Canis lupus familiaris: one gene and its partners. The protein of the gene in region 2 purifies or fractionates together with the protein of the main gene of each other region. This does not show direct contact. Links are inferred from orthologs where the notes say so. Each region holds a gene or a part of one and is shown on either strand. Other genes may lie near its edges.

Region 1 (3,646 bases), on a different chromosome or scaffold from region 2:
GTGCTGTGGCCTGGGGGGGGGGGGGGGTGTTGGGCATGGGGTCACTGCTCCTCTCTGGTCCCACCTTGCAGGCGCCTACTGCCTCTCTGTGTCGGATTTCGACAACGCCAAGGGCCTCAATGTGAAGCACTACAAGATCCGCAAGCTCGACAGTGGTGGCTTCTACATCACCTCGCGCACACAGTTCAACAGCCTGCAGCAGCTGGTGGCCTACTACTCCAGTGAGGGCCAGCAGAGCGGATGCTGGGAGGGGGGGCCTTTGGGGCCAACCCGGGGCTGGGGCTCTTGTTACCCTGGGAGTGTGGAGCTCCTTTGTCCCCCTGCCCCTCCTCTCCCTTCCCTCTTCCCCCTCCTTTCCTCCCCCCCTTTTTCGTCCTGGATCCTCCCGTGCCCTCCTCCCACCAGGCCCATCCCCCCTCTTTCTCCCCCTCTGCAGCTGGCTGGAGAGGAGGGCACTGCCTAGAGGGGAGCAGGGAAGGGAGGGGGGCTGAGGCTGGTGTCGTTTGTCTCTGCAGCCCTAGGACCGGTCTGAACTGGTTGCTGGGAGGGGAGGGGGCGGCTAGACCGCTGCAGCCCATAGCCCACAGAGGGAGGAGGGAGTGGGAGGGAGCATAAGTGGCTGCGTAGGGAGCCAGGGCGAGGGCTTCAGGTACACACACACACATACACACACACACACACACACACACACACACACGCGTGCGCGCAGGTCATGGGGGGGAGCATGCATGCAGTGTCTGCACATTTCGGGGCTTCCCTGGGGACACCGAAGGCTCAAGGGTCTGTGTGTACTCAGGTGGGTGGGTCTCTGTTGGTGCCTGTGTGTGTGGCCGTGGACTCTGTGTGCAGGTATGGCCTAACTTGAGAGTGCCAGTTCGTGCCCATCCTGTGCCACCCTCCTCTCCTTCTGCTGGGCCGCCTGACACCCTCTACCATCTGCCACCCCTCTGTCTCCTTGGCTCTCATTCTGCAGTTCATTCTGCACACTGTTCCCCCACAGCAAAATCGATCTCAGGATAGAGACCCCCAAGTGGCTGCTCTAAACCGGGCTGGCCTCCCTGCCTTACCTGGGGCCCCTTGCCCCCGTTCACTCTCTTGCAGTGCCTCTGGCCTCCTTTCAGTTCGTGCAACCAGAGGCTTGTTCCTCTCCCAGGGCCTCTGCATGTGCATGCGTAGTGCAAACCTGCTGTTTGGAGTGGTGGGCCTTAGTCAACCACTCACTGTCCTGCAGACCCAAGCTCAGGGGCCACTTCCTCAGGGAAGCCTTCCCAGACTCCATCCAACCCATCTGCTGTGGCACCCATGGCTCTCCTCCGTCACACTTGTGGCCGGGAGGTGATTAAGGGAGGTGGGGCTCACTTGGCACTGTGAGCTCCCCAAGGGCAGGATTCCACTGGGCTTGTCCGGCACTGTGTCCTTGCCACTGACCGGGGTGGCCACCCTTTAAAGTCTGCTGAATGAATGAATGAATAATTCGGTGAGCATGTGCATGAGGCAGTGTGGGCCTGTGTGGGGTGAGGGTGTGGACACTCAGGTGTGGATCCCTGGCCTCAAGGGCATCCTTTGTGTCCCCAAAGCCTGTGTGTGTACCATGTGTATATCAGACCGTGGGACGGGGAGGTCCCAGGGCAGACCCCCTGCCTGAACTCTACCTCCCTGCCTCTGTCTTCAGAACATGCCGATGGCCTGTGCCACCGCCTCACCACCGTGTGCCCCACATCCAAGCCACAGACTCAGGGGCTGGCCAAGGATGCCTGGGAGATCCCTCGGGAGTCTCTGCGGCTGGAGGTCAAACTGGGCCAGGGCTGTTTCGGAGAGGTGTGGATGGGTAAGGCCTTGCCTCTGCCCCCAGAGGAAACCATGGTCCCCTTGGGGGGGCTCTGGTGTCCCCAGTCGAGAACCAGGGAGATGTCCATCCCATAGGACAGCTCAAGGTCCCAGGGCTCCCCCACAACCCTTCACCTCCATGAGTCTCAGTTGCCTCTGCTGAACAGTGGGCTCTATTTTTTTTTTTTTTTTTTTTAAGATTCTATGTATTTATTCATGAGAGACACACAGAGAGAGGCAGAGGCAGAGGGAGAAGCAGGCTCTCTGCGGGGAGCCCAATGTGGGACTTGATTCCAGGATCCCGGGATCACGCCCTGAACCAAAGGCAGACATTCAACTGCTGAGCCACCCAGGTGCCCCCAGTGGGCTGTGTTTTAAAGGTGGAGCTCCCCCACACCTCTGCAAACCATGGCACCTGTTTGCCGAGAGCTGCTTGGGGCTGGGCATCCCGATTCCCCAAAGATGCTGTGTGGTCCAGGCCAGGTGGCTCCACTGTGAGTCTTAGTCCTCCTCAGTGTAAAGTGGAGATGAGGATAATAGGACCCACCCGCGGACTGTGAGAGAACGCTGGCCCAGTGTGCATCCACACGTTAGTGCTTAGCCGCGGGACGTGAAGCCTCAGCTCTCAGAGGGAGTGCTTGGAAGCACAAGGTCTGGCATGTTCTGGGCCTGTTCACGATCTCCTGTCTAACCCTGGAGAAATGGCAAAACTGTCCTTGAAAACAAACACCATGAAACCCTGACAAAATGCAGGCACCCTCTGCTTGGTTCCTGCTGCCACAGAGGAATCAGGGAGGTTGGTGTGAGACAGGCAAGACAGTCTTAAGCCCGTGGCTTCAGCTGGGGAATCATCATGTGCCGTCATGTAAGCCCCAGTGTTCACTTGGCACCACTGTCTCCACTTTCCTCCTCTCAGGGGAGAGCAAGGACAGTTCCTGGGTGGGAGGCCCTGCAGGGACACAGGCCTGCAGGCTGGTCAGGCCAAGTCAGGAAAGGGGAAGTGCTGGCTTTTAGCTGGGGAGAGGGGAGGGGGATGTTCCGGAGACTGCAAAGACTCATTCCTGGCACACGTGTGTGGTAGTAGCTGTGGACACTGCAGGTAGACTCATGAAGTGGCAGGTACAGATCCCCAGACATTGTGCTGGAGGTGCCCCAGAGGTAGGCCTGGGCCCCCACTCTCAGATGGAGGCCCAGAGACTGGGAGGAATGGGCCCAGGGCCACTCATCAGAGGACCTTGGGTCCAGTGTGCTAAGAACTCGGATTAAACACGCTGCTCTAGCACACAACTTCCCCCAAGGCCTCTCAGTGTGAAAATCCAGATAATAATAAAATGACAAGTGTAACTATTATTTACCGAGCCCTCACAGTCGGTTGGGCCCAGAGCCTAAAATCTCATTTAATTCTCAAACAACCCCGCAGGGAGACACTATAACATCTGCATTTTCCAGAGGAGAAGACGGGCTCAGAGAAGGGAACTGACTGGCCCACGGTCTCACTGCTGTCAGGAGGCAGAGTTGGGCTTCAGACCCTGGCCAGTCTGACCTTCACGCCCTCTGTGTCTGGTCCAGGCCTTGCTTTTTAGAGAGCATGCCTCTCGTGGAGGTGGCTTTGTCCTGAGGCCAGCTCTGCTTCCCCCGCCAGCCCCATTCATTTGCTAACTCCTGACTCACCTCCTGTGTGCTGCCCAGAAGGAACACGGTCACTCAGGAGAGAGTAGTTGAGTTTTGGGGCCATGATTGTCCATCTCTTTGGTGAAAGTGCTGCTTTTTGGGACATTCCTAATAATGGCAATCCCAACAAAAGATCAACGGCCACTGT
Region 2 (3,646 bases):
GAAAGCAACAGCTAGGAAGGACTCACCCACTCCCCTCTGCATTTAACAAAGCCTTCTTGGGACTTGGAACACACACACACACACACACACACACACACACACACTTTACTAGCCCTTATATTTTGGACCACAGTAAGAATCCTTGGATTATGAGCAGTACATTGAATATATGCATGAAATGAGAGTATTTAACTTAGTTCATATTTTATTTTTAAGAAATCTCTATACCCAACATGGGGTTCAAACTCACAACCCCAAGATCAAGAGTCACTGAGCCACCCAGGTTCCCAAACTTCAGAGAATTTTAAAGCAAATCTCAGACATCAAAAGGTTTCTCCTGTAAATACCTTAGCACGTATCTTATATAGAAAAGGTTAAAAAAAAAAAAAAAAAAAAAACAGAATGCCACTAACACATCCTGCAAAAATAACAATAGTTACTTAATGTCATTTTAATGCCACATCCATGTTCAAGTATCTCTAATTGACTCAAAGGTGTTTTTATAGTTGGATTGTTGAGTCCATATGTAAGTGTAGTCTACACATTACAATTGGTTCATTTTCCTCTCAGTACTCTCTTAATCGACAGCAGCCCCCCCACCCTTTTGCCATTCATTCATGTCTTGAAGAAACAGTACCATTTGTCATATAGTTTCCACATTCTGTATTTGGCTGACTGCTTCCTGTGGCATTTAAGTTTCTTCATTCTCTGCATTTCTTCGAAATCAGATCCTAACACTTGACTACATTCTGTCCCAACTTTTGTTTCCTCCAAAAAAAAAATTTCCTTAGTGTACTCTGTGCATGCTACTGAATCACATCAAGTGGCACATCATGTCATGTTGTGTTGTCCCTGCCTTTTGTTTTTTTAGTAAATGTTAAAAACTAGGGGTACCTAGGTGATTCAGTTGCTTAAGCATCTGCCTTTAGCTGAGGTCATGATATCAGGGTCATGGGATTGGGGCTCACATCAGGGCTCCTTGCTCAGCAGGGAGCCTGTTTCTTCCTCTCCCTCACTCCCACACATCTCCCACCCCAACTCCCATTCCTGCTCATGTTCTCTCCCTCTCTCAAATAAATTAAAAAATTAAAAAAAAAAAATATGTTGAAAACAATCAAAAGGCTTGGAGGTTATCAGCCTCCATTTAAAAATTCCCCATCATCCCTGACCTAATCATTCAATTCTAGCAGGCTTAAGCTCACTACCTGCACCCTTTATATAGTTCTCCTGTACAGGGCACATATGTGGTCTAAAGGTATTCAAGAGCTCTTTTGCTCAGGACAGAATCAGCATAAAAAATTCCCAGAATAATCTTAAAAGCTGAAGTCCCACTTAAACTTTTGTTTTTTTTTTTTAAGATTTATTTATTCATGAAAGACACAGAAAGAGAGGCAGAGACGCAGGCAGAGGGAGGAGAAGCAGTCTCCATGCAAGGAGACTAATGTGGGACTTGATCCCAGATCCCAGGATCATGCCCTACAGCTGAAGGCAGATGCTCAACTGCTGAGCCACCTAGGTGCCCCACTTAAACTCTTTTTGAAGTTGGAAGTTTCACAAGTCAAAAGTACTAATGCTAAAACACAAACACATCCCAAAACAAGAATATACTCAATTAGTAAGCAAGATGCTACTCCAGATTTGTAGAATGTTTTTTATAAATAGTTCAGTATTACAGTTTCCTCTAAAGTAGATGTGAACAGGCAGGAACTTCTCTGAGAAGAAGAAGTGGGCACATTGGACAAGCTCTGTTCTCCCGGGAAATCACGTTACAAATCACAAGACACAGGTTTCATGTTTGGATTTGTGCTTGCTCAAATAGTTTTTTCCTACTCAAATCCAGCCCTCAAAAGATTAAGGACCTTCTCTGTCTTACATGGTCATGGGGTGTTGCTCTTGGTTTGCACATGTGTTTGCACATGGGTATGATTTAGATTACAGAGGTGCCTTCCAGTTTAAAAGGAGAAGAAATAGTGAGCTTCTTATAATACAACACCTCGTATGTAATTGAAAACCACCCTTCAGCTACACTGCATGAACTTCGAGAAGCAACACAGTAGAATGGCTGGCTGTGGAGGGAATGGAAAAGGTGTGGGGAATGGGAGTTTAAAAAAAAAAAAAAAAAAGGCAAGCCAAACAAGAGAAGGGTCTTGCACAGACCAACGATGATAAAATACTAAGAACTAAGTATTTTATACACATACACACACAACTCCCCAGTTCCTGCTAGTCTGTTGAAAAATCTCCCTACTTACGTTATCCTCTGTTCCATATATGTATCTGGATCCTCGGCGGTGTAGGATGTGATTTCCTGGCCCACACCAAAGTCTTCAGGGATTGACACTACCTTTGGGCAAGGGATGAAGATGGGGGCTTCATTCACATCTTCCACGTCCACAGTGACAGTGGCTGTGGAGGTGGAGAGGATGACCTCAAACGGGGTCACGTTCACCACAGTCACGTACAAGACATACTGCTGCTTGTCCTCAAAATCCAAGCCCTAAAGAGAACAGAAATGAGTTAAAAGAACCTATTTTATGTTAGCTTAGGAAAAAAAAAAAAAAGATTAAATCCTTAACTATTGTCGTTGGTTAACAATATCTTGTGGTTCTCAAACCTAGCTGTGCTAGGAAGAATTAACTTAAGAACTAGAGAAGAAAAGGGAGGCTTGCACCCTAATCCAGTAAATCGTAATTTCTGAGAGGGAGGCCCGGCCATGGATGTTTTTCAAAAGCTAACAAGCAACCACATTCAAGATGAGAACCCTAGCAGAAGAATAAAAACGAACTACATGAAACCTCACACAGCAAAACCCAGTAAGAAATGCTCATACTGGAAGTCATTTATTATCCAAGACCAGTAAGAATGTTCATATCTTATGCGACGTGTTGTCTCTGTGATAGCAGATGGACAGAAGACCCTGCTTGTCCAACTCACTAACCTCAGTTAAGTTTAGTGACAACACGCGGTTCCAATGAGGCGGCAAAAAGGTCAAACAAAGCCAGGGTGGGCCATTTCCTAGCCCTGTGGGTCTGTTTCCACATCCAAATACATAGGAAAAGGAAATACTAAATAGAGTCGCTGTAAGGAGTACACCGGGAACATTTGTGAATGAGTGTGTTTGGCGGGGGCTCATTTTCCTAGCTTCTATCTTTCATTTGTAGCATAGAAAATGGTGACATCAAATATTGGGTGGGAAATAAGGTTATGTAGTGAGTGATGCAGAAATGAATGGCTTTGCTCACTTGCTCAATAGGAAGTCTAAGTTTGGGGGCAAATTCAGTGATCTGCTGTTAGTAACCTCAACAAGAAGGTCACCCAACTTCTTAAATTTTCAGGTTTCAAAGTCATGTGTCCCACTTCTAAAATAATCCGGCAAAATGGCAGAGACCAGTAAACCATTTTTCCTCTCATTTGCAAAATGGATATGGGGGTAGACAAATGTTTCAGGGAGAAAGCCTTTTAAAACCGATGGTACTTTCTTTCTCCTCAATTTCAGGGGGCTGCGTAGGAGCTTCTCACATGTGCCTGAAGAGTAGTTGCAAACCCCAAATGGTCCACCAGAACCTGGGAAAGCTGCCCACCCCCAGCCTGCCAATGCCATGTTGATCTACTTCTGAGAAGACACCAGGGGACAAGGCAGTGGGCA
Region 3 (3,746 bases), on a different chromosome or scaffold from region 2:
CACCTTTATGATCTCTTCAACATCCCATACCCTTCTCATGAGCCTGTGTTTGCTCTCCCATCCTTTCCCTCTGGGGTGCTCTCTTCTCATTCAAACCTGACCATTCTTTCTGGGCACAACTGGTTTCCACCTGCCTGGGGTGCTTTTCTGAATAACAGTGCCTAGGCTACCTAGAGTCTCCTGGGAGCCTCTCCCCACCAACTGCAGCCTATACCTCTGGAAGGTTGGGCTTGACATCTCCCAGAGTCTAGCTTCCCCTCTGTCCGCGCTCAGCATACAGGGGTGCCAGTGTGGAGTGTGTCTTAGGCACTTTTTCAACATTTATTGAACGTGTACACGAGTCAGGCACTGCTCTAAGCACCGGGAATGTGGCAGTATATGAGACAGAACTAGGTCCCTCCTCTCCGCCCTCTGACATTTTAGCCTGTTGCTGGTAGCTCAGCCTACAACATAGACAATAAGCACACACACGCACAAGGATGCCAACTAAGTGTATACACGTAATGGAATAGACAGTGGAGGGAGGAGGGAAGAGGTCCCCTTTGGATCAAAGGGGTCAGGGGAGGGATCCCCCAGGAGCTGAGATTCCAGCATAGGCCTGACTGTGAGAAGGCTCCAGCCATGTAAAGAACTTTCCAGAGGCCCCAGAGAGGCCCAGTCTGGCGCTTCTGCTCTTCTAAAGATAGAGGAGATGCAGCCGGTCCACAGCGTCTGTCACTTGACAGGAACTAAAGGCAGACAGAAGCCTAGGATCCCAGCAACTTCGGGGCTGTGTGTGTGTGTGTGGGGGGGGGGGGGGGGGAGGACCCTGCACCCTCCTTCTTCGTCTCCCAGCTGCAAACCTGGGGAAATAAAATCTCGCTTGGCCGGTATTCATGGGCCACCTGCCGGGGGCCAGGGGCCAGTTAAGCACTTTCCAGCTTTGTGACTTCACATACTCTACACGACAATCCCTCGTGATACTTACTATAAACTTTATTTTACAGCGGAAGGAAAAAAACAAAAAACAACCACCGAGGCTGCCCAATATGGATGCAACCTGTTCCGATCTGCGCGGGCCAGAAAGCGGAGTTCGGTTTCCTGGAGGCGGGAGGTCCGCGGTGGGGGTCGGGTGTGTGTGGGTTCGGGGCGCACCTGCTCCCCGGAGTTTGCCCGCCGCGCCCCGGCAGCGGCCCTGGGCCCCGCCCGGGTCTCGGCGGGGCCTCCGGGCAAGGGGCGCGCGGCGGGGCGGGGGCGGGGACGGGGACGGGGACCGGGACGGGGACAAAGGCCGCGGCCGCCGCGCTCGGGTCGGGCCGAGTCCCGCGGCCGTGCAGGCGCTCGGGGCTCCCGGGACCAAGCCGCGCGCCGCGATGGAGCGCCCCGGGGCGCCGCGGGGGCCCGCGCAGGCCGAGCCCGCCGCCCCGCCCCCTCCCCCCCCGCCCCCGCCCCCGCCCCCTCCCCCTCTCCCGGCGGCGGCGGCGGCGGCTCCGCGCTCGGCGAACATGGCGGCGGCGGTCGGGCGGGACACTTTACCTGAGCACTGGTCCTACGGCGTGTGCCGGGACGGCCGCGTCTTCTTCATCGAGTGCGGCGCGGGGGCGCGGGCGGGGGCGCGGGCGGGGGCGGGGGCGCGGCGGGGGCGCGGCGGCGGCGCTAACAGGTGCACCTCTCTCCGCAGCGACGAGCTCCGCCGCACCACCTGGCTGCACCCGCGCACCGGGGAGCCCGTCAACTCGGGCCACATGATCCGCTCAGGTGGGGGCCGGGCCGGCGGGGGCTGGGGGCTGGGGGCTGGGGGCGCCCGGGGGCTCCAGGTTGACCCGGCTCTCTTGCTTCCCGCAGACCTGCCCCGCGGCTGGGAGGAGGGCTTCACGGAGGAGGGCGCCAGCTACTTCATCGAGTGAGTGGCCCGCGCGCCGCGCCGCTTCCCGCCCGCACCTGTGCTGTGCGCGGGGTCCCCGCCGTCCCCGCCCGCGCGGCCCGAGAGGCTGGGCGCGCACAGAGCCGCGGCCGCGCCCCGCTGGGGTCCTGGGCGCGGGGTCCGGGCGGGGCCGCCGGCTGCCCCCCCCCCCCCAGCACCCCGGGTCCTGCACCCGGGCGGGATTCGGGCGCGGGGTTAGGGCCCCGGCGGCGGCGGCGCGGGCTGGGCCCGTGGAGCTAGGACTTGCGCCCGGGGTCCCGGACGGAGCGCGGCGGGGAGAGGCGCAGGGAACCCCCGGGAGAGGCCTCGGGCGTCCACCTGGTTCCTGGGGCGACGGTGCAGCGTCGGGACCGCGCCCCCTCCCCGCCTGGAGCGCGGGGTGCGGGGTGCGGGGTGCGGTGGGGGCGGGGAGGGAGCCCCTCAGCCCGAGGTGCTGCTCGGACCCCCGCGGCGCCCGGCGGGACGGTCACTCCTGCCCCCTGGAGCCGAGCGGCACTCGTTCAGGCAAAGCCCGCGGGCGTCGCGCCCCGCCGGTGGCCGCGGACCCGGGCGTGCGGAGCTGCGGCCCCGGGGCTAGGTTAGGGCCCCGCCCCGCCGCCCCCGCGCTCCGGCCCGAACTTTCCCGCGCGCGGCGGGTACCTGTTGTCTCGCTGGAGCACCCGGCCGGCGTGCTCGCCAGTCGACCCCCGGCAGTCGGAAGCTGCGCTTGGTCCTCAGCCCGGGGCCTGGCACAGAGTAGGCCCTCGGGAAATCCTCGTGTGCGGAATGAATGAACTAGCCAAGGGCTGCGGCTGGACGGTGGTCTGACAAGTAGCGTCACTTGGGGGGGAAGGGGGGGCTGCGAGTCCACCAGCTCGAAGCGCTGCTCGTCAGTAGTAGAGCAGCATAGTCGGAGCTTGATGGTCTCGGAAGATCCTGGATCCCCCCTCCCTACTTTGGGCTCTTGCAGGATGTTTGAAATCCTGGTGGATGAGATGTGTACAACTGAACACTAGGGCTCTGGCTGGGGTCCTGCCTCATGTCTGTGTTTGAGAGAGAAGTTGGGGAGCTGGTGAAGACCTCAGAGCCCCTCAGTCATGGGCCTGGCTGGTCATAACTGCATTTATTAATATTTATTAGATTTCTCCTCGTGTGCCACACATTATTCTAAGCATTGGAACCACAGAAGTGAGTAAGGCAGACAAGGTCTGGATGCTCAGGGGGCTTGCAGTCTAGTGGGGAGAGGGAGCAGAAAATAAGTTAAAAACCAAGAATAGGATCCCTGCGTGGCGCAGCGGTTTGGCTCCTGCCTTTGGCCCGGGGCGCGATCCTGGAGACTCAGAATCGAATCCCACGTCGGGCTCCCGGTGCATGGAGCCTGCTTCTCCCTCTGCCTGTGTCTCTGCCTCTCTCTCTCTCTGTGTGTGTGACTATCATAAATAAATAAAAATTTATTTAAAACAAAACAAAACAAGAATAGGGCAGCCCCATGGCTCAGCGGTTTAGCGCCGCCTTTAGCCCAGGGCGTGATCCTGGAGACCCAGGATCCAGTCCCACGTCCAGCTTCCTGCATGGAGTCTGCTTCTCCCTTTGCCTGTGTCTGTGCCTCTCTTCTCTCTCTCTCTGTGTCTCTCGTAAATAAATAAATAAAATCTTAAAAAAAAAAAAGAATAATGTCAATGGTGACTACTGTGCAGAAAATTAAAATAACGTAGTGTGATATCAAGTGACTGAGTAGTGGTGTTGGATTGAGAGGTCAGTAGTGGTGTTTCTCAATAGGTGACATTTATGGTAAAATTTGAATGACAGGGAAGAGCCATCTTTGTGTTGATGAGACGGCAAAGCATTTCTGGAGGAGACCAGC

What was found.
Region 1: the proteins of CDH1 (region 2) and SRC purify together in Homo sapiens (affinity purification with western blotting; 5 studies listed by BioGRID and IntAct, with this or other methods). This does not show direct contact. The link is inferred for Canis lupus familiaris from reciprocal best matches to the Homo sapiens genes CDH1 and SRC.
Region 3: the proteins of CDH1 (region 2) and PLEKHA7 purify together in Homo sapiens (co-immunoprecipitation; 3 studies listed by BioGRID and IntAct, with this or other methods). This does not show direct contact. The link is inferred for Canis lupus familiaris from reciprocal best matches to the Homo sapiens genes CDH1 and PLEKHA7.

The regions. Positions count from the first base shown.
Region 1 is NC_049245.1:26,580,080-26,583,725, forward strand, and holds part of SRC (proto-oncogene tyrosine-protein kinase Src), read left to right. Parts: intron 1-71; coding exon 72-221; intron 222-1,672; coding exon 1,673-1,828; intron 1,829-3,646. UniProt on the Homo sapiens protein: Non-receptor protein tyrosine kinase which is activated following engagement of many different classes of cellular receptors including immune response receptors, integrins and other adhesion receptors, receptor protein tyrosine kinases, G protein-coupled receptors as well as cytokine receptors.
Region 2 is NC_049226.1:81,354,824-81,358,469, forward strand, and holds part of CDH1 (cadherin-1 precursor), read right to left. Parts: intron 2,498-3,646; coding exon 2,253-2,497; intron 1-2,252.
Region 3 is NC_049242.1:40,307,193-40,310,938, reverse strand, and holds the start of PLEKHA7 (pleckstrin homology domain-containing family A member 7), read left to right. Parts: upstream 1-1,431; 5' UTR 1,432-1,484; coding exon 1,485-1,567; exon of another isoform or gene 1,568-1,597; intron 1,598-1,660; coding exon 1,661-1,737; intron 1,738-1,824; coding exon 1,825-1,882; intron 1,883-3,746. UniProt on the Homo sapiens protein: Required for zonula adherens biogenesis and maintenance. Acts via its interaction with CAMSAP3, which anchors microtubules at their minus-ends to zonula adherens, leading to the recruitment of KIFC3 kinesin to the junctional site.